Linked DNA regions of Drosophila melanogaster. Changing the gene in region 2 together with the main gene of any one other region gives a genetic interaction. Each region holds a gene or a part of one and is shown on either strand. Other genes may lie near its edges.

What was found. A genetic interaction does not mean that the proteins touch.
Region 1: of Nedd4 (region 2) and Ndfip, changing one enhances a phenotype caused by changing the other (phenotypic enhancement), as found in Drosophila melanogaster (one study listed by BioGRID).
Region 3: of Nedd4 (region 2) and Septin4, changing one enhances a phenotype caused by changing the other (phenotypic enhancement), as found in Drosophila melanogaster (one study listed by BioGRID).

The regions. Positions count from the first base shown.
Region 1 is NT_037436.4:17,647,730-17,656,907, reverse strand, and holds the start of Ndfip (Nedd4 family interacting protein), read left to right. Parts: upstream 1-2,627; 5' UTR 2,628-2,916; intron 2,917-6,281; exon of another isoform or gene 6,282-6,375; coding exon of another isoform or gene 6,376-7,029; exon of another isoform or gene 7,030-7,346; intron 7,347-7,661; 5' UTR 7,662-7,663; coding exon 7,664-8,467; 3' UTR 8,468-9,178. Other genes in the region: CG7484 (uncharacterized protein), read right to left, coding at 1,312-1,690, 2,008-2,126, 2,182-2,220; Krn (keren), read left to right, coding at 6,376-7,029.
Region 2 is NT_037436.4:17,527,537-17,533,681, reverse strand, and holds the start of Nedd4 (Nedd4), read right to left. Parts: upstream 3,602-6,145; 5' UTR 3,260-3,601; intron 2,874-3,259; 5' UTR 2,836-2,873; coding exon 2,647-2,835; intron 177-2,646; exon of another isoform or gene 34-176; intron 1-33. Other genes in the region: Edc3 (enhancer of decapping 3), read left to right, coding at 4,214-4,773, 5,062-5,976, 6,039-6,145. UniProt on the Drosophila melanogaster protein: Essential E3 ubiquitin-protein ligase which accepts ubiquitin from an E2 ubiquitin-conjugating enzyme in the form of a thioester and then directly transfers the ubiquitin to targeted substrates.
Region 3 is NC_004354.4:16,691,623-16,697,357, reverse strand, and holds the start of Septin4 (septin 4), read left to right. Parts: upstream 1-2,184; 5' UTR 2,185-2,240; exon of another isoform or gene 2,241-2,744; intron 2,745-2,938; exon of another isoform or gene 2,939-2,986; 5' UTR 2,987-3,155; coding exon 3,156-3,315; intron 3,316-5,735.

The DNA.
Region 1 (9,178 bases), 120 kb from region 2:
GCATATCAGTGTATACTTGTAATGAAACGTAAACAGGCGATAGTGCGGTGGGCCTATAAACAATATTATTTGCTCTTCGAATTTGTGATGCTGTAATCAGTTGTAGGAGCATCATAGAATTTGTAATGCATTTTTCAAAATGCTAATAAAGCTAGACGTTTACTTGCATAAATACTCTTGTATTTGTTTATATTCATCGCATCCAAATAAACTGCACGTTGCAATACTATTTATATTTAAGACATTTTTATGGAGGTCAGCTATAAAATAATCCACATTGTACAATATTTTAAGCTTTTCACAGTTTAGATCTTCCAAGCCCAACTTGAATAAATTTAATAAATATCTCCCTTTGTCAGGATATCAAACATTGCAGTTCATGTCACTTTAAAAACATTTGATCCAAGTATTCCAAAGTAGAAAGTAGTTATTAAGGTAAAAGTGTTAGGCAAGACATTATTATTAAATTGTCACTACTTTTTGGTGATATTTTCTAAGAGCACCGATCTCATTATTATATGAATATATGGTTGACTTAGGAACTGTTTGATCATGCGCGGTATCCGGATAAAAACAAGATTAAGAGAGCGGAAAGACGGCGATGTCAAGGCTGCGTCACAGATCGGAAATAGACATCAGCTACGATTTTGGCGGGCAGAAATATGCTGTTTGCCGTTTCAGTTACCACAATTACTCCAGCAGGCTGATCAAATATTGATCGACTTGAGGACCCCCACCATGTGAGCCCACTACGTCACTGCTGACGGCCACAAAGGGGGGGGGGGGGTGTGGTGTGGTGTGATGTCTTTGCGATAAGAATTTCGGCTACAATGCCGCGAATTTGTTGCCTCAGCCGGGAACTTTCCTTTGCCATCGATAACAAGATAACAAATAAAATGATTTAATTTATACTTATGAATCGAAAACTCCCACGGCGTCGCATTGCAGTAACTGGCTTGTCAGTTACTCTCAAACTGTGTCCACAGCTTTTCCGCGGTGGCGCGTAGAAAAGCTCACGCCACCTTGCAGTGGCTCTAAAAACTTTTAAAAACTAAATCTCTTTAGTTAGATTAGATCTCTCATATTACAAGCCAATTTTATGTATATCCCTGATCTTGATGTTTATATTTTTTAAATTCAGTGGCTTGACATCCCAGAAGTTTGGAGTACTAATCTCACGTCTACACATTTTTAGTTCTTGAACAGAATATATTTAACAAAATATAAATATTCAATGATTTTGAAAGAAAATGGTACGGTCTATAGTTTTGTTTCGGATTTTATTAATCTACAGTTTTGGGTATGCTTATTTTAGATCCTGTTGGTTCGCAGGTAATCTTCATCGTCATCTCCATCGGCATCCTCCACCACGCTGTACGAATTCTTGCCGGCACCATCCTTGGCCAGATGCGTTTCGAAGAACTCCTCGACAGTGTCTGTGTTCCACTTGGTTATGGACAACGTCTCCTGCACTTTGCCACTGGCATCTAGGAGCTTAACCACGGGATCCAGTCCTCTTACGTATTTGATCTGCAGGTTGGGGAACTTGGCAGGTCGGCCGCTTTGAATAAAGGCCTGAATCTGCGGATAGGCCCGGAATTTGCAGGTGCACACCTCCAGAATTGCCTTGGCATATGTCCGCTGTGCCGCCGGCTGCTGATCCAAAGTGCAGCATTGCTTACACTGAGGCCTGAAATGTTAAAAATGTTTTGGATGAATAAAAAAGAGCAATGGGCTCAAGCAGAAACTATAAAAAGTTAATATAATTTTTGTTATTAAAAACTGAAGGAAGAATCATATTTAGTCAGTGGTATGGAGGAGCTTACTAAGTCAAGCTAAGCATTTTTGGTTGGAATATTTAAAATGAGGTATGAAATTTAACCTGATCTAATTAGATTAACATATTAATTAAACAATTTTCAGGTCTTCTTATGGAATGATTATAGCATAGTTCATGGGTATCTTTACAACTCCAAAGCTAGATTAATTAAATGTTATTGAACCCACTTGATGGTATCCAATCCGAAATCATCCAGTTTTTCGCAACTGGAACACATTAACTGGGCCTTAATAAAACCCAACGCCCGGCAGTCGGCGGCCGTCAATTCGGCTTGAATTTGCTGGCACTGTAGGGTATAAAATATATATTAAAAACATGTCTTAGCTTCAGACATAACTTACACTTAAAGCCAGTAGAAGAAATATAGCACATTTATGCATTTTTGTGGCTAAATTCTAATTAAATTTACTACGTCCACGTCGTTGTTTACAAAATTTTCTTAGCTTAGTGATGAGTAGAAGGGAAAATAACATTATTTAGGCTTATCGATTATATTCGGGTTGCTTGTCTTTTCATCGTTTAGGGTATTCCGTATACTGTTTATGAATTAGACAATTAATCAAACTTTTGAACAGCTTTAATAAACTTATTATTATTATTTCTTGATATTTTTTCAGCAATTTGAAACTTTTGTCACTATAAAAGTGTACAAAATAATTTCAGGTTTTTATATTCAAGTACGCAAGTTTATTTTCCGATGTTAATAACTAATTTCATGTGATTCGATAGCTTATCACGCTTACATCCCTACAATCGATACGGACTGCCCAGCAGCTGGCCACCACTAGCTCAGAAATCGAAGATTATTCGTGGTGGTGCATTTGTTTTTTTCGCTTCGCTCGCGAAGTGAGCCCAGTTTTAAATTATTTAAATTGCGTATAGTGAAGCCACTTGAAAGCGAAACGCCTACTGTCGCAGTTCTGCCAAAAAACCAACAGTATTAGCTGTGTGCGTGTTTGGCAACAACAAGTCAACAAAATTCGAACAAAATCAATAAAACGGAAACGTGAGAGAGCGCTGCGCAAAAGAGAAAAGCGAACGCAATCGCAATCGACCAACGCATAGAAGAAAACAAGGTGAATAAATAGAACATGGCATAGAAAAGGCGAACTAGAATCAAATCGAATTAAAATCGGGTACAGAAATAGACGTGAAAAGAAAGGGCGAAGAAAGGGAAACAAATAACCGTTACAGGAGCACTCCTGGAGATTTAAGGCTCTCTCTCCCCCTCCTCAGCACTTTAGCCCCAGTTGTGCGTTTGTGTGTGTACATGTGTTTATGTTTTGTTTAGCACATTAATAATCTTAATTCTGCTAGATTTCGCCACTCAGGTGCTAAACGCTAAAAAAAAAAGTGCACACTCCGATAAGTCTACCCCTGTGTCGGTGTACTTGTTTATTTAATTCATATTTACTCAAGTAAATTAATTCATTTGCCCTTGTACAATAACAACAAGCGCCGTTTGCTTGGAAACTCGTTCTCGCAGTCGACCGCCTCCCCTCTTCGCTCCTAATCTTATTCTTTCTCTATTCCACTGCAATACCACTGCAGCTGTCGGTGCCTGTGTGTTTTTCATTCAATCCAGGAAATTGCCCCTTGAGAGACCTTCCATTCAGACAGCTCCATCTGCATCTTCTTCAGCTTCTTCCGCTTGCATCTTCATCCTCTCTCTTGTGCTCCCGGTCCCGTTTAACTGGTTTACTTTATGCTTTATTCCACTGATGCCTCCTCTATCGCCCTCTCCCTTGCGCACACCTGCTGCTTGGCAGCTGTCCACGCGCTCAAATTTCTTATCACCGAACAAACTCCGGCTGAAACCCAAAACCTGGCCCAAACTGCGTTGTTACTTTTCCACGGCAATTCCCTAATTTCCAACGCCTTTTGTCACGGCCCTGTTGCTTTCTCCCTCTCGAGAGCTCTAACTCCCTCTCCAATCCTATTTTTACATACACGCATACGCAGTAAAACTTGGCTATGACAAACCACATATTATTCTATAGATACCAAATACTGTTTTTTTAATACTGTATATTGTTAGATACAAAAACACTTTTGGAATTACAAATCCAGATGGAATTATTAAAAAAAAATATGTATATATTTTGCACAAAATTTCTCATCTGTTTCAAAGGTAATTCCATATGTGTTGACATTTAGAAATGTAAAAGCTTTTCTATTTATTTTAAAGATTCAAAAATTATTTTTAGCCGAATGCATACGCATTAAAAGCAAATCGATTTATTCGGTTTAAACATCTATTGTTTTTCAATGGAAAAACCAGTGTATTTTCCAGAGAACCTTACCTAAGTTTTTATATGTATATATTACATTGAAAATAATTATATGCCAGCTTTGAAGCATGTTAACGATAAGTGTACTTGAGCCCGATTGTTAGTGAATTCTTAAAAAATAAGAATGAGCAAAGTCGCTTTACATTGGGATTGATTGTGAAATCCTCCAAATCTTTGTGTGTCACTATAGAGTCTTATTTAAAATGATATTACCAAATGTATTGGCAAAACGCAGATAAGTTCAACTGTACAATGTGCAATCTCTCGGTTTCGTGCAATTTTGCAATTTTTCAAATGCCCGCACATCTGACTCATCCACAGGTAACTGTAATTACTGCCTAGCATCCACTTGCTTTCCGCACCTGTGGATGGTATTTGTCACCTTATCAATACGGTTTCTCTGTGTTGACTGTGATTTTAGATATTCCTGCGCACGAAAAAAATTGGACACCTCTAAATTTAATTATACAAATAGTACTGTTTATGTTTTCCTATATTTATTGAAGTATTTTAAAGTGTGTATACAAAAGTAATTATTGAGTGCATATGAAACCAAAGTCTTTTGTATTCTGATACAAAAATCATATCATATATGATATCAAAATTTATTTCTGTGTACTCTGCTGTTTGTGAGGTCAATTTTTGATAAGCCACCAGGTGCTCATTTAGCTCGTTGGCGCCTATTAGCTCATTATTCAAGCTTACGTCCGGCTCACCCACATACCCACAGATATAAAAAAAAACTATACAAAAAACCCATATATGCACTCGCAGAAATTAGGGCCAACTTAAGCCCACTCACGCAGTTTCTTTATTGGCTTGAACTATTTTTGTTTTGCTCGTTTGGCTCCGTTTATATTTCAATTGACCGAAAGGTCATCTTAATTGCATTTGTGTTTTGCGACTGTCGCACTGTCCTACTCGCACTCGCACTCGCACTCTTCTCCTGCCATTTCAGCTGTCAACTTTCACTCGTGAGCTTTGTTGTTGTTATTTTTAGACGTAGGTGCGTGCCACACATGTGATGGGAGGAAAGGGGAAATTTTATGGGGCTTAGGGCTCCGTTGAGCTTTACAAAGCAATTGGACACGGTTTAGTCCAAGGACTCGCGACTGTGGATTGAGATTCCGACTAGTGACGAGAGTCCTAGAAAATAAAAGCTAAATGCTATCTTATATATAATTGACTGTTTGAAATAAAGTACAAATATTAGATTTAATGTGCTAACATCCAAACAGGTGACGAAAGCAAAACTTTTTAAAACGAAGTGTATATTTATTATAATTGCAACTGTTTCGCTCTTCTTTCCTTCACTTCCAAGTAGAAGAATATAACTTTAGTTTTGATTAATAATGTAATATTGCATGTTTGAATAAAAAAATAGTTCAATTTCACTGACATATTTCCTAATATAAATTTAGACAGTTAAGTTGGCATGACTAGCGTTTATTGAAAGCACTTAGAAAGTTTTAATTTACGTTAAGTGGAATTCCGAAAATTAGTGTTTCTGAAAACGACACTGTTATTGTGGATCACAACTAAGGCGAGCACTAATTTGTTTATGTTTTTTACGCCCACTCAAATGGTCGCCACTCAAATGTTGCTTACAAATGATGTATTTGTTTCAGCAGAATTACTCAACATCGTTGTTTCTGTTGATCATTCGAATTATTTTGTTTATATACGCAACGGGATCAGTTACATTCTAATGAAGCTCATTCTTTCTCCGGAAAAGATCTTGTTTATAACAAGGCGTTTCGAAATCCTAAGGTTAAATCAATTTTTTATACGTTTAAATACATCTTGTATTAAACAGTTTTTATATATTGAAGTGCCTGAAGTGTTCGCTATGTTAAGTGAGAGTGTAAACAGAAAAACCAATTGATAATGAATGCAGGCTGTGCAAATGCCACAGCCGCTTGGGTTCCGCTCGCGATTCCGGCCAGGTAAATAAACGATGTCATTTTTTTGTTAAAAATTTATGAAATTCGATTTTCTGTTTCTCGTTCTCACTTAGGTCGAGGAGCATAGGTTGTAATTGTGAGAAGGAGGCGGCTGGCGGTGCTAGGCAGGCAATTAACCCACACAGACCCGAACACGAGCTTACATTTTTGATTTGTTTTTAATTGCACTTCGTTTTTGTTTTGCAGCCGCCTGCCAGCCAAAGCCAAGAATTCCACATTACAAAACACCTTAAACTGCATTGCCACATTCCCAAGTAAGCTGCCATGAGTTAAGATCAAGATGCGAGCCCAGGATCTGCTGCTGCTTGCCACCGCTTTAATCGGCGCTTACCTACCGCTCACCGCCGCCTGTTCCTCGCGTGCCATCGCTAAGCCGCGGCCAACAGCTGCACCGATCCTGCCGCCGGATAATGTGGAAATATCCACAACGCCGAGACCGAATGTCACCTTCCCGATCTTCGCCTGTCCACCGACCTATGTCGCCTGGTATTGCCTGAACGATGGCACCTGCTTTACGGTGAAGATCCACAATGAAATCCTATACAACTGCGAATGTGCGCTGGGATTTATGGGTCCGAGGTGCGAGTACAAGGAGATTGATGGCTCGTACCTGCCAACCAGGAACCGTGTGATGCTAGAGAAGGCCAGCATTGTTAGCGGAGCAACGCTGGCCCTTCTGTTTATGGCCATGTGCTGTGTGGTTTTGTATCTGCGACACGAGAAGCTGCAAAAACAAAAGCTGCACGACAGCACCACAACCACAACGACCGACGGTGGCTGTCAGAACGAGGGCATGGACGAGGTGGATGGCTTGCGACCCTTACGTCCAGTGAGACGTCCCTTTGGACCCTGCCGCATCCTATCGCTGGAGGAGGCCCACCTTCAAGCGAAAGCCTCCAATCGCCCCAGGCATTGCAACGAACTTTTGCGCTAACTAATTAGCCTGGCTGCTCATTTGTTTTTAAATGTCTAACATGTCCAACTGTTTATTTTAACTGCTAAACGAAACTATTATTTTTGCCATCTGATTGAGATGGCGAATGCCGTAGTTCTAAGTGCCTACTGACGTGCCTATAACACATTTAGATCAAGTATTAACGAACGAAAACTGATTGCTCAGAGAGAGATAAAAATAAATCTAGATATAATTCAATGCAATTTTGGCAGCTAGCCGCCCATTTATTTATTATACACCTAATTTTATTAAAAAAAAAAACGCGTGAACTAATATCGTCAATAAAAGCGAGAACTAAATCACCAGCTTTACTTTCAATTTAGATAATGCAAATTTCGAATACCTTTAGAATTTGATTGGGAATAGTTTGCACAAAATTCACCATGGCCTTGATTTTCCTTTTATTTCAGAGATGCATGTAAATACTAAACAGTTGATCTGTTAAGCTACACGAAAATAAGGATATCTTAAATTTAGTATGTAAGAAAGAAAAGAATTTCTTAAGAATCTTCTTTTCTGAGACGTCACCTTAGGCTGTCAAAAAAATTCATATGCTTTGTAACCCCTTAAGCACTGAATTAATTTTCCCGTTTTCCGTTTGTAATTTCCAGTCATGCCGCACAACAACCAGCCGTCTCCCGGGGATGATCAGTTGGGACCGCCAAAGGCGGACTTCAGTGCTCCGCCACCGTACGAGGCGAACGTTGGCCATGGCCAGCAGGTAGCACTGCCGGCTCAGATGCCACCGCTGGCCTTGGCCACACCCGATCCCAGTCAGATCCCGATACAGATGCAAGTGCAGCTGCCGAGCCAGGCGGACCTTATGAATGCACAACTGCCGCCAGAAATACACGGGAAGTTGCCCACGTACGAGGAGGTTCAAATGGAAAAGTCGCTGAACGGAGAGCTGCCGCCCGCCTTTTTGACTTTACCCTCCTCGCAGCAGCTACCGCCGCCGCCGAATCCGCTACTGCCGCCAAATCCGCTGCGCGATGGAGCCGCTGCTGTGCGATCTGCCCAGCCGGCACTCACGTTCATCGCCATCGATGCCAGCGATCCGGAAAATAGTCTGTCCACCACCGACAACTTGCTCGGCACGGACATCATGTTCATCACGGCCTTCATTGTGGCCTTTTTGTTTAACTGGATCGGCTTCCTGATGCTCACCTGTTTCTGTCACACAATCGCCGCCCGATATGGAGCATTGTCGGGATTCGGATTGTCGCTGGCTAAATGGACGCTGATCGTGAAGCACTCGACGGACTTGGCCTCGCACGAAAACTCCTGGCTCTGGTGGCTGATCTGTGCCTTTGGCTTCCTGATCAGCATACGCGCTTTAATACAGTATGTCAGCATCAAGCGATCGTGGCGCCTCCTTTCCGCCTCTGCCCAGGAACGGCTGCTATTCTTTTACTAGGTGCACCTGGAGGCTTTCCAGTGGTCGTCTTGTAAATACGTTGTGGGTGGCTAGGAGGCTCGAATGCTACCAACCAACCGATCCCAACACCCTCTATTCCCCAGACCCAGCACACGAAAAATCAACGCGAACTTATTTTGCAGAGTTCTCGAAATCACTATGGACTTGAAAGTATTCCCTCAAATGTATTAGTCAATCAATTTCTTTAAAATAGAAGTAATGTTATTCAAAAATATACTTTGTATATCCGTTTACTACACTTTCAAGTCACAAACTTATTGGGATATCTCGCAAGTCCAAAATTGCATTAGCTTTCAAGAAAGTTTCAATTTTCTTTTAAATACTAAATGTATTGAACAGTTTTACATTAAGCCAATTGTAAATTGTAAACGGTGCAGCGGCTTAGATGTTGCGAAGAAAATTCGATTTCGAGAGCTATCCGAGTTGTGGGTTATCATTTTTTGTAGTTTCTGTGTTAACTAGAGACGTTAAAAATGTGTGTTAAAAAGTGAAAGGCGAATGCATCTTCGCATCTGCTCTCCCCCAATCGATTATAATTGTAAATGTATGTGAAATGTGTATGGATATATAAATATCTCACCCTAATTGATCCCTCTACACCCCCACAAAATCTCCCTAGGCCTTTTAGTGGCGCCCATGCACTTGAAACAAAGACACAAAACAAACCAAAAAATAAATGGGATACAAAAT
Region 2 (6,145 bases):
AACAATAACAACAATAACAAACGGCACACCAACACTATTGCGAAAACATGTTCTGCGTAAATGTCTGCCTCTCTCGCTCGCTCCCGCAGCGAGTGTGTGTGCGGTCGTGGGTGCGAGCGCAACAGCAACAGCAACACTTGTCGGCAGCCGCAGCGCAAAACACGGAACTTGGCGCTTTCGCGTTCTAAGCTAAAATGAAGGCAGCTCCACTGAAAAGTGTGGCCAGCGCGTTCGGGCCAAGAGGTTGCCCCATTGCGGAGCTTTCATTGGGTCTAGTGTGACCGATGGAACGGAGTAAATTATTTACCTCATGGTCGGCTTCTCCGGGAAAAATTCTAATATTAATATATTAAAAAGCAAAATACGAAGTGGACTTGCAATACTCATGCATAGATATTTTAATGAATTGTCACAAAAAGTGCTCCAATTAACCATAAAAAGGAAAGTTTTTAATCTTAAAAAAAAAATACCAAAACAGTACTGAACACATTTTTCAACACTGAAGCCCCAGCTACAAGCTGTTGGCTGAAAGCTTTTTAAAATGACAGCTTAGCCCTGTACTCTTTTTGTCTTCCTCTCGCGTTTTCTCACTCCCACTGTTGACAGCTGCCATCGAACAAGTGTCTTTAAGCAAAACAAAACAAAAACAGCTGATCGGCTGCGCCGTGCGTTGATGTGAGTGGACTATCTATGTGTGCGTGCGTATCTGTGTGAAATTTGTATTTTGGGCTGGGAATCCCTCCAATTCCATTAATAATGTTCAGCTAAATAGCGTATAATCACTTATAATAGACATGAGAATGTTCTGACTGCTGACGCAATGGATTCAATGGATGTAATTGACCAGCTGTTGACTGATAAGCGGCCCATTAAGGCTATCCGCTAAGGCAATTGTGACGTCGACTGTTCTTACAAGTGCGTCGATTGGCCGACGTCACCGCTTGCCGGCTGACGTGCAAATTGGATTAAATAACCCAAATAACAGAGCTCAATTAGCGGGGGCATACAACTTTTGCGGCAAAAAAAGCACTAATGAAGATAAGCCATTCATTCATACACCTCCCACTTTTTGGACAGGAATTTCGAGCCATTCTGACAACGCTTCAATGAGTTCGACAAACAGAATTGAAGTGCCGTCAAATAATCGCTCATTGAGTGAAAGCAAACAGAGCAAACAACCAACACTGGGATACTAAAAAAGAAAGTAAAAGAAACACAAAACAAAATGTCAGTTCATAATACGTTTAGAAACTATGAATAATATAATTCTGCGAGTTCTGTTAGAAATTAAAATACTTTTATAAACCATTAAACATAGCCTAGGTATTAAAAGTTAAAACAATATTTTTCTCTCTGTGCAGCCAGAAAACCATAAAGTGTAGACACACAACATTCAAGAGGCGGCGGCCAAGAATTGTGTTGATAAATTAAATTAGCTTCGAAGATGCCGATGACTGCTCAAGTGGCTAGCATCTTTGGCAAATTAAGATAAATAAATTAGTTTAGTTTCCGTTCGGCCTGAGATGGCGAGCGAATTATTTGTTTATACAAGTGAGCAAAACAATAGAAAAGCCCATTCCAGACACTAAGTAAACAACGATGATGCCAGTTTATTTTCTGGCGGCTTCCTAATACTTTTCTTGGCACTTTTCTGCTCTTCGGAAAGTGCAAGTCAAGAAATGTTATTCGATTTTAAAAAATCCGCAAAAAAGCTACTTTTTCTTTAACATTATAAAGTAATTGGTACAAGCAAACAATGACTAAACGATAAAATGTAATGTGCTGTATTAAAGGCCCTCCTAAAAAAAGACTTATGGAAGTCACTCCTGAAATACAACTACATCTAACTTAATGGTTGACGAAATGCAACGACCTTTACACCGTAAAAGCTAGGTATTGGATAAGAACAGTTCGTAAGTTTTTCGTGCTTTTCGGCTTCTGAAGGAATTGTAGATCCCCTACTTTTCCCACCATACATATATCCCACTTTATCATCCATGAGGGGAGTGAAATCTACATGGCCCATCTACACGACTCAGCTGTTTGGCAATCTGCAGATTAGATTAGTAGTGAAAACATCGTAAAAATGGAAACACTAAATACAGCGGAGGCACTGATAAGGGCGACCAAATCCCCCAGCACCACCCGTTGATAAATACTTTTCAAATCTTCACACCAACAAAATGGTGGATACATTGTGGGCAATTCCTTATAAAAGGTTATAGGAATTGGTTGGCTTAGTTTTGATAAGACAACATTTCGGTATGCCCTTTAAAATGAGATACATTTATTGATTAGTCAGTTTGCAACGAAACCAAAACAATTGATAAGAGTATCTTATAAGATGTCATAGTAAGTAATACCTTACTATCTATTAAAAATTGATAAACATATAGGTGCCACGGTCACTATTTGGTGTTATGATAACTTAATTTGATACATACGCGTTTATATAACCCATAATTAGTTAACTGGCTTTATCAAAAATGGAATGAAATTTTTCAATCAGAGTTGGATGCGTTGTGAAATAAGGTTGTAACCATAAGGTGCTCCTACAAAATTCCTAAGATGTTAGAAGAGTTCCTAAGTTGTCCTTCAAGGTAAAGCTCTCTCTTTTCGTCGTCACCTGCACTTATGTAAACTTACCACTGCTGCCAACGATCTGCGAGGAGTGTAACCATTTCCAAATTCCTGGCGCGTTTGCTGTTGTCCCGCAACAGAGGCCGCTCGCCGGCGGGGCGGCGGGCGTGGCACGTCGCCGCCGGCCACCGAGGAAGAAGACGACGGGACGGGAAGGGCCGCCGCGGCCACCAAGCCGCTGGAACGTGCCGACATTGTTGTGTTGTTGTTGTTTGTTTCTTTTAGAGAAGCTTCTGCAATGAAAGAATGACGGAAGGAGAGAGGGTGAATATGTGCAAAGCGGAAGTGCAAATTAAGCGATAAATGACACGAAGAAGAAGAAGAGGAGGCTGCCATAAGGTAACAAGAGGGGGAAGGGTGTACAGAAGCGAAGGAAAGAAAAGCGAACAGACAACAAAGACAGCAAACAAAGTGAACAACGGTACTTGTGCTAGATGCCATCTCTGTCTGCCGCCCTGCCCCCGTGCAAGCGTGTTTCTAGTGTGTGTGTTGTGTGAATGAGGTGTGGGTGATAGAGCACAAAAGCCAAACATTTTCTTGATAATTAGCCAGGCGCGAAGCCATGTCTTTGTAGACCATTTATGGTTAGCATAAAGTTTCGCCCAAGTTTTCCACTTACGTTTACACACGCACAAACACGGGCCACTATATTTTCGCCCGATTTATGTATATATTTTGCGGTGGTATGCGTGTGGGCTCGCCTTTATCCACTATTTGCGGAAAATCATCACGTACTTCTATCACACGGCAAATTCTACACTGCTCACTATTCAAGCGATTATCACTTTGACCGCTTCGGCGGCGCACATGCCTTAATCGCCGATATCGGTCGGCTATAGGTGCCTGTATATATGTCGCACGCGCAGTATTAAATAAAATTTAAACACCGGACGGGAAAAATGCACAAAACGGCGACAAAATCGAGAACAAAACTGCCAGAGTGACCGTGTACGCGCACTGAGAACATACCACAGCACCCAGAAGCCTTAACAGTTAAGGGAAGCACTTGTTAAATTCATAAAATGGCTCGCAGGCTTTTATTGAACCAAATATTTATCAAAATAAGGTGAAGTTTCCGTAAAGCATGAAATTTGTAGTTATTATAAATATGTATATTATTATAAATTTATTAAGTAAACTAATTTGCCACGCAGCTAGTTTGGGTATTGTTCGGTATTATCTGAACACCAACGAACGGCCACACGCAAGCAGTGAAAATCCCAATGAAACGAGAAATCCAATAAGTTTTAGCGTCAATGTGTTGCAACGGTTGGTGCATTTATTGATTAAAAGAGACAAAATACCGAACCCCTTGACCGCAGAGCCAAATAATTCAAAAACACCCGACTTTAAGCCACAAAACACTAGAATCAACGGCGGTGCAGCAGCAGGAAGAAGAGGAAGAGAGGTGCGTGGTGCGTAGTTAGTTAGTGGCGAAATTGCGTATTAGAAACGAAAACAACAAGCAGCTCTGCGCGGGCCAGCAAACATTTCGAACAACCATTAGCCAGGGCAGAACAAGCCGATCCAACGTGTTGTCGCATTCGCAAAGGGAGTATCGAAAACTGATTACATGGGTCCGACGGATCAAGACTGGATCGGCTGTGCAGTGTCTATAGCCTGCGACGAGGTCCTGGGCGTCTTCCAGGGCCTGATCAAGCAGATTTCTGCCGAGGAGATCACCATTGTGAGGGCTTTCCGCAATGGCGTGCCGCTGCGAAAGCAGAACGCCGAGGTGGTCCTCAAGTGCACGGACATTCGCAGCATCGATCTCATCGAGCCCGCAAAGCAAGATCTGGATGGGCACACGGCGCCGCCGCCAGTGGTCAACAAGCCCACGCCCGTCAAGCTGCCCCACTTCTCCAACATCCTGGGCAAGCAGCAGCAGCTCCAACTCCAGCAGCAGCAGCAGCAGCTACAACTCCAGCAGCAACAGAAACAGCAGTTCCAGGAGCAGGAACGAGAACAGGATCTGCCATCGACGCCGCGGTCAAGGGCCAACGACAATGGACGGGTAGCGGCTGGCGGAGCATCGAGTTCTTCGGGCCCACGTGGCAACTTCAATTCGGCGCTAAGCGATAAGATGCATCAGCTGAAGCTAATCGAGACCAACGGCTCAAATGGCACCCTTAGGTAATATGGCCCATTAAACGATTGTGCAATGCCAATAATTTAAATTAATTGTTAGCTCTTTATAAAAAAAAAAAGTATGAAGATTTTTGCAGTCAGCACGATTGTGTTTATTTCATTTCATTTTGAAGCCATCTTTATGTTTAAACTTACCAACCTTGAGATACGAAATGAGTAAATTACCTTTATTACTGATAAAAAGCAACAGTCGTTTCAGATAGGTCTTGTGCCAACTGAGCGTCGTATTTAAAATAGGTTTCATCTAACTTTTATATTTGTTTCGTCATCCAGAACACCACAAACATCCCGTGCGTCCAGCGCTCAGCAGCAGCCGCAGATATCAACGACTCCCAACAGCGTGGCCGCCTTTTTTGGCAACATGATACCGCCGAAGGTCGAGGTGAAACTGGGCTCCTACGTGAGCAACACCCGGGAGAGTTACTGCAGCAGCAGCGGAGATAGCGGCGAGGCAACTGGTTTGTCGTTGGGCAGCAGCAAACCCATAGATATCGTCAGCAACGGAGATGGATTTTACAAGCAGACGGCAGCCTCGAGCTATGGGAATACAAATGGAAATGTAAGAAGGAATGGCAATGCCAATAACAATGGAAATGGCACCGGAAATGGTTCTTATACCAATGGAAATGGCAACGGCAACGGGAAGAACAAGCGGAACAGGGTGCGAAGGGAGAGCAGCATGCGGCAGCAACAGGTGCAACTGACTTTTGGCAGCGAGGCGGACGATCCGCTGATCCACGAGGATTTCGATTTTGAGGGCAATCTAGCGCTGTTCGACAAGCAGGCAATTTGGGACGACATCGAGTCGACGACCCAAAAACCAGATGTGGTGCGGCACATTGTGAACAATCATCATCATAAGCCAGAGCAGAAGTATCGGCACGACGAGAACATCCTGGCCAGCAAACCACTACAATTGCGCCAGATCGAAAGCATGTTCGGCGGCAGCCAGGACTTTGTGACGGACGACGGTCTCATTATACCGACGATTCCGGCTTACGTTCGGAATAAAATCGAGATAAGTGCCGATAAGGCGGGCCTCTCTCTGCAGAGGCAGATCGACATTTTGGCGCGCGGAGCCAGTGATCTGGCCATTACACTGCTGGGCGGCGCCAGGCGATTGACGCCGGCCAACAACCATCAGTGGCCGAAGATTGCCATCATCTGCGATGGCGGCAAAAATATGAGGTGATTTAATCAAACGTATATGGACATAACTTCAAGGCAGTGACTAACATAATTCCTTTCAGAACAATTAACATTGGAGCAGCCACAGGTCGCCAGCTGGCTTCGCATGGGCTTACTGTCCTGCTGTACGTGGAGCAGGCCAAACTGCTGGAGCAGAACAGCAGCAGCC
Region 3 (5,735 bases), on a different chromosome or scaffold from region 2:
CAGCACACACCTACGGCCAAGCAAATAGTGACAGTCCAATTTAAATTGCAGATATAAAGAAGAACAATTTAAATGTTATGAAATATATACATTTGTTACATTATTATACTATTCAATGAATTCTAATACTGTTGAGCTAAGTATTACAGTTTGAAATTATTATTTCAAAAAAATCTTGCTTCGAGGACTAACCGCTTTGCTAAATTTAGAATATAAATGTAAAATCCTTATCACTTTGCGTGCATATAGAATTTCAGCGATTATCAGTGATGCATTTTAATGACTAGTGTATGATGAATTGAGAACATTGTGAGAGTATGCCTGGATATGTACATACATATGTATGTTGTACCACATGCCCCATCATCATGCCCCCTGCTGTGCGGAAAAAGTAGGCGGGGAGGCCAGTGGGCGTGGCGGGGCCTGAGGTCATGCGATGGCCTTCGAAGGAGGCGACATGCGCAGTGGGTTAGTGAGCCATTTGGCTGCTGGATTGCGGGGCTGTGGAGTGGGAGGTGTTTATATAACAACAATGCTAGTGCAGGCCCGCCGACATTCGCCTGCAATGTGACCTTCACCTTGGCAGTGGCCGCAAGGCCGCGCCTGCACCACCCACCCAATTTCCACACCACCAGACCAGCCCATGTCCGCCCAATCCAGCCCATTCTGGTAAGGCCCCCTGGCCTTGATCTTAAACTTTCCCACGAGAAACAGACAGGTATTCGGTATTCACCTGATTTCTTGCTGCTGCCTTTGGATTTCCAGTTTTCTGCTCGACAGCAATTTCTATTATTATTCTTGCAGCTGCCGTTGATGTTGTTGTTGTTGTTGTTGTTCTCGTTGTTCTTCGCACCTTTTTTTCTGCAATGGGAAATTTGCATAAAATATTCAATCAACTTTCATTGTTCCAGGCGGCTGCCATTGCCGGGCTTCAATTTCGAGCACATAAAAAAAATGCAAACAAACAGAAAGCAAAACAAAGTTCTCCCTCTTTTTTTGGGTAGTTTCTCTTTGAGCCTACGCGATTAAACAAATTAGCACTGAAAACTTGTTGAAACAAATATGCCGCGAGCTTGACAAATTGACAAAGGAAGATTTACGCGTTTCAATGGATTCTTCTTTTCATCTCATCGAGCTTACACTTTCCCAAAAAACCAGAATGAAATCGCAGAGAGAGCGAGTTTTCGAAAACGCGTCCGATTGCCAGCGCCGTTTAAGTTCGACTGAGTTTGTGGCGCGTTGTTCGTGTGCTACGGAGGCCAGAAATCAGAAATCCAGCCGCCAATGCTGCGACCTCCAATCGGGCTGAAAAAGGGTTTTAGTCACGAAAGTTTTTCTTGAAACAATTAATCATTTATATCACTGATTAAAATTATTTTTTTTGTAATTTTTTCCTTAGTTTTTGAATTTTTAAAAGCAATTTTCTTGAAAAGCCTTTTAACCTTTTGGTTTTCAAGACATTCTGCTTTTGCCAGCCTGCACATTTTGAGCACCCGCTGCAATTTTACAGCTGCCAGCTTGTGTCAGTGTGCACAATTGGAGAGACTAAGTTTGCGTATTCAGTATTTTTTAGGTATATTGTAAACTACTTTTACAATATTGTTTAGAAACAAACTCTCTCATTTTCCTAGTTTCTATTCGGTCTACAATACAATTTCTTTAAAAAACAACATTAATACAATTACGATATCTGACCGGAACGGTGGAATATCGAACATGGGGCAGTTTTTTATTTATATATTCTTTTGTTATTTATAGGTGAATTCTAAACAATATAAATGCAAAAAATGTTAAAAAAAAAAAGATCTAACTATCTATGTTCGACCTAAGTTTAGAGAAAAATCGACTCCCCACTCTTTGGGGTATATCTCCACTCGTAGGACATTTCTTTAAGGACATTTCAGGAAAAATGTAGTTGCCATAAAAAATGTTTACCTAGTTTTTGAGATAATGGCACTCATATCATTATTATTATGGACTCATATTAAATACCATTCTTATTTTTAACAAATTTTATTCTTGTTCAAATGTACTTTTAGAGGCTCAAGTTTGAATAAAGTTGTTGAAGTGAAATGGCGCAAAGTAAGACCCTTTCATCCAGCAGTATTATTTGTTCGGTATTTTTGCTGGTATTTTCGGTTCGAATGTTTTTGGAAATGGAAAAGCAGAGCAGAGCTAAATTGCAATCAGATCTCGACGCGACGGCGGTGAAGAAGCATCAGTAAAAGCGCGCGGAAAGTGTATGTTTCAAAACTCCGCTCAGAAAACCATATTTGTTATTGTAAATAATATTCCCTTAGAAGTTTGGAATATTTCCCGCGACAATTTTTTTTTCGGTGAAATTTCATACCGTTTTGCCACAAAAAAAAAAGAGGAAACCAAAACAACGGAAATAGTTAATAACAAAGTGCGTGAGCCTTTTTTTTATTATTATTTTTCGTGTGTGTAAGAGCGGTGATTTGGCGCTGTGTGTGTGTGTGTGAGTGTATTGTGCATCTCACTGTTACTTGTGGTCGTGTAGGTCAAGGTGAAGCAGCTGCACCGTTAGTTTTCCACCCATTGACTATGCAGTTTTCAATCGCAAATGCATTTGATATTATGCATATGTGTGTGCAGAAACCCTAAAAAGTCAATATTGCAGTTAGTAGCTCTCTTTCGCACTGCCCACCCTGCCTGCCTCCCAACCACCCTCCCTCCCGCTCGCACCTCATCGAGTGAGATAAGCACTAGATAAGCATGTGTACGTAAGTTACTGTTAAGCTTAACCCTTAGTGAACAACAAACTTGCACGCAAATGAAATGTGAGGTTTAAAAATATATAGAACACAATTAAACAAAAATATGAAACAGTAATTAAAGTGTGGGAGTTAATCCCCCCAAAAATCGCAACTATAACCGATTAATATGCGCTAATAAAACTAAATATATATATTTTCAGTACTTACCTATGTTATAAATTAGTTGCCCATTTTATATTAACTTTTAGTGTCAATTTAATGTGGCAGCACTAGCAGCTGGCAACGTGCAGCAGTAACAACAAAAACATAAAACAACACCGGATTGTGCAACCTGCAACTTGCAACACAAGCGGCAAAACGGCGTTTCTACCGCAGCGTCGCCTCTTCGGCGGCGGCAATGTGCCCCCCTCGGCGACCATGAAGCATCAGCCGCCGCCCCCGCCACTCCCGCTCAGCCAACCGCCCACGATGGGCGCTACAGCGGCGGGGGGCGTGGCCAGCGTCATAAGCACGATGAACGGCAGCAGCAGCAGTGGCATTGAGGCGGTTAAATGCCGACCACCCATTTACCCCAAACGTAAGTAAAAGCCTCTTTCCATGCTGCACACAAATTTGTAAAAAAAAAAAAAAAAAAAAAAATCAGAAAAGAAGCAGACGAAAACATCAAGGGGTTGATGAAGCAGTTTACAAAGGGGTTCACCGTTGTATTGTATTGTATTGGTATTGGCACTACTTACTTCTAATGCGTAAAACGCATTCCCAGAAAACTCTGGTATTCTCATAATTTGACTGAAAAAAGACAATACTGAACACAGTAAAATTCCTGGAAATATGAACGTAATGAAATGATGTAATGTTTGTGAGATTTTCGAAATCATCAATCAACGAAAGATAAAACAGATCACCACCATTTTCGCTCGGTTAAGCTTTTATTTGGAATTATTAATTAATTTCTTAGTAACTCATATCTATGATGCATAGCTAAACGAAGCCTACATCATAACATGGCTCAAGTTATCATACCAAATTGATAACGAGAACGACCTTTAAAGATAAGCGGTTGATTAGCTACAGGCCCAGTTAACCGAATGACATTAGTTTAAAGAATGTTAGGAATATTATAATATTAACATTTAGGCACAACTCCACATCTTGGCTTACAGTGCATTTGGGTTCCCTTTTTTCCACGGGCCAATTGCATTTGGCTGGATCGATCTTATCTGGTATTTGGCATTCGGTATCTGGTAACTGGGATCTGGAATATGGGATCTCGATAGGCTGCCCCATTACGTGGGGCCCACTTCGCTGCTTTTCCGCCGACAAGAAAATTGACTGGCCACCGTAACTACGTATGTATATGTACAAATATATATGTATGTATATATGTACATACTGTATGTATTTTCCGATGGTTTTGGTTTCGGTTTTGGAGGAAAGTCGACGGCGGCGGCTTCCTTTCCTTTTTGCCCACTTCACTTTGTTTTGGCTTCGCTTTCGCCTTGGATTTTTTTCATCAACTTTTTCTTGGCTTTTCGACTGGGGAGTTTGGACTGAGTTGGTTGTTGGTTGCGACTGCCGTATTTGGTAGGCGTAGACTGTGTTTTTATTTTATTATTATTTTTTTTTTTTTTTTTGCCCCATGTTTTCTATTTTGTTCCTACTTCTCAGCTTGTGTAGTGTGGCCGCACCCAAAACCACCCAGCACAATCCCAATTGCAGATCGGTCTGGGCCTTGGGTCTTTGGCTCTTTGGTCTTGGCCATTTGGCTACTTGGCATTGGCCTTAACTTGGTAACTTGGTTACTTCGGTGGGCAACGTGACCGCAGCTAACGGTTCTCCTGGTTGACATGTCGTTAGTGGCCGATGAACATTTGTGTCGCCGATATCGGGCTACGGCCCTCCTAACTTGGCCGAACGACCTATTGGAATCTATGTTTACTATGCTACACCGCAAGAAAACGAGGTCAATTATAAGCTTTTCAATTGTATTTGATGTCTATCTCAATAACTTCTCAATGGTCATATTTTTGATTAAAATTAAAAGAACACAGTAACGTCTTAAAGTAAAAGATTACATTGATCCCAAGATGTTATCATCATACTTATTATTATATTATTAATCACTTATGTTCTAAGACATTTATGACTCAGTAAGATTTGTTAATATCCATTAAATTCAATTGGAATATATTCCCAGCCGGTTCATATGGAGTGTAATATTTTTATATGCATTTATTAATCGATTCACAATTTGGTGAGCAATAGTTTTTCTCACTTCATTCAGCTAGCAATGACTAGCAAACACATGTTTACATACAGACATCTAGAATAAAACGTGATAAGATAAACGCAATATTTATAAATTTTCACTGAGCTCACCTCAACTGGTGTTTTATTTTGTTAGTGGATTATACAGTGTTTACTAGCCAATTATAGCAAGTAAGCCAGTTTGAAAATATTGGCATATTATGGATATATAATGGATACAATCAAATACAGTGTTAAGTCAGTCAACTCTCCCCAAATGGCGTTCAATTAGTTGCATTGGGAAAAATCACGCTCATCGATTGTCTAAGTTTAGTCATCCATTTCCATTTCCATTTGCTATTTCCATGGTGCATTCCTTTCGCATTCCAAGTTTTCCAAGTTGCAGTTCCAATTTTTATTATGGAAGGCTTTCGTTGGTTAGTTCCAATTAAAAATGCCGCAGCCTAGCGTTTAAAAACTCATTAGGAGCCAACTTCATTGTTATGGCAAATGAATACACATCTATGTACATACATACATATCTACCGCAATTGTGGTTGTCGTTCCCTTTGCCCGATGTCAGCGATATGTTCTACTATATGTTTTCTCTCACTCATTGTTCGCATGATGTGGGGGCGTTTATGTGCAGTTGTACAGCAGCGGTCAAGAAAGTAGCAAGTAGTCAAGTAGTAGAATTCAAATGAATGTATAATGGTTTTGGTTTATCTTTTATTTGCACTGAAGTTTTTG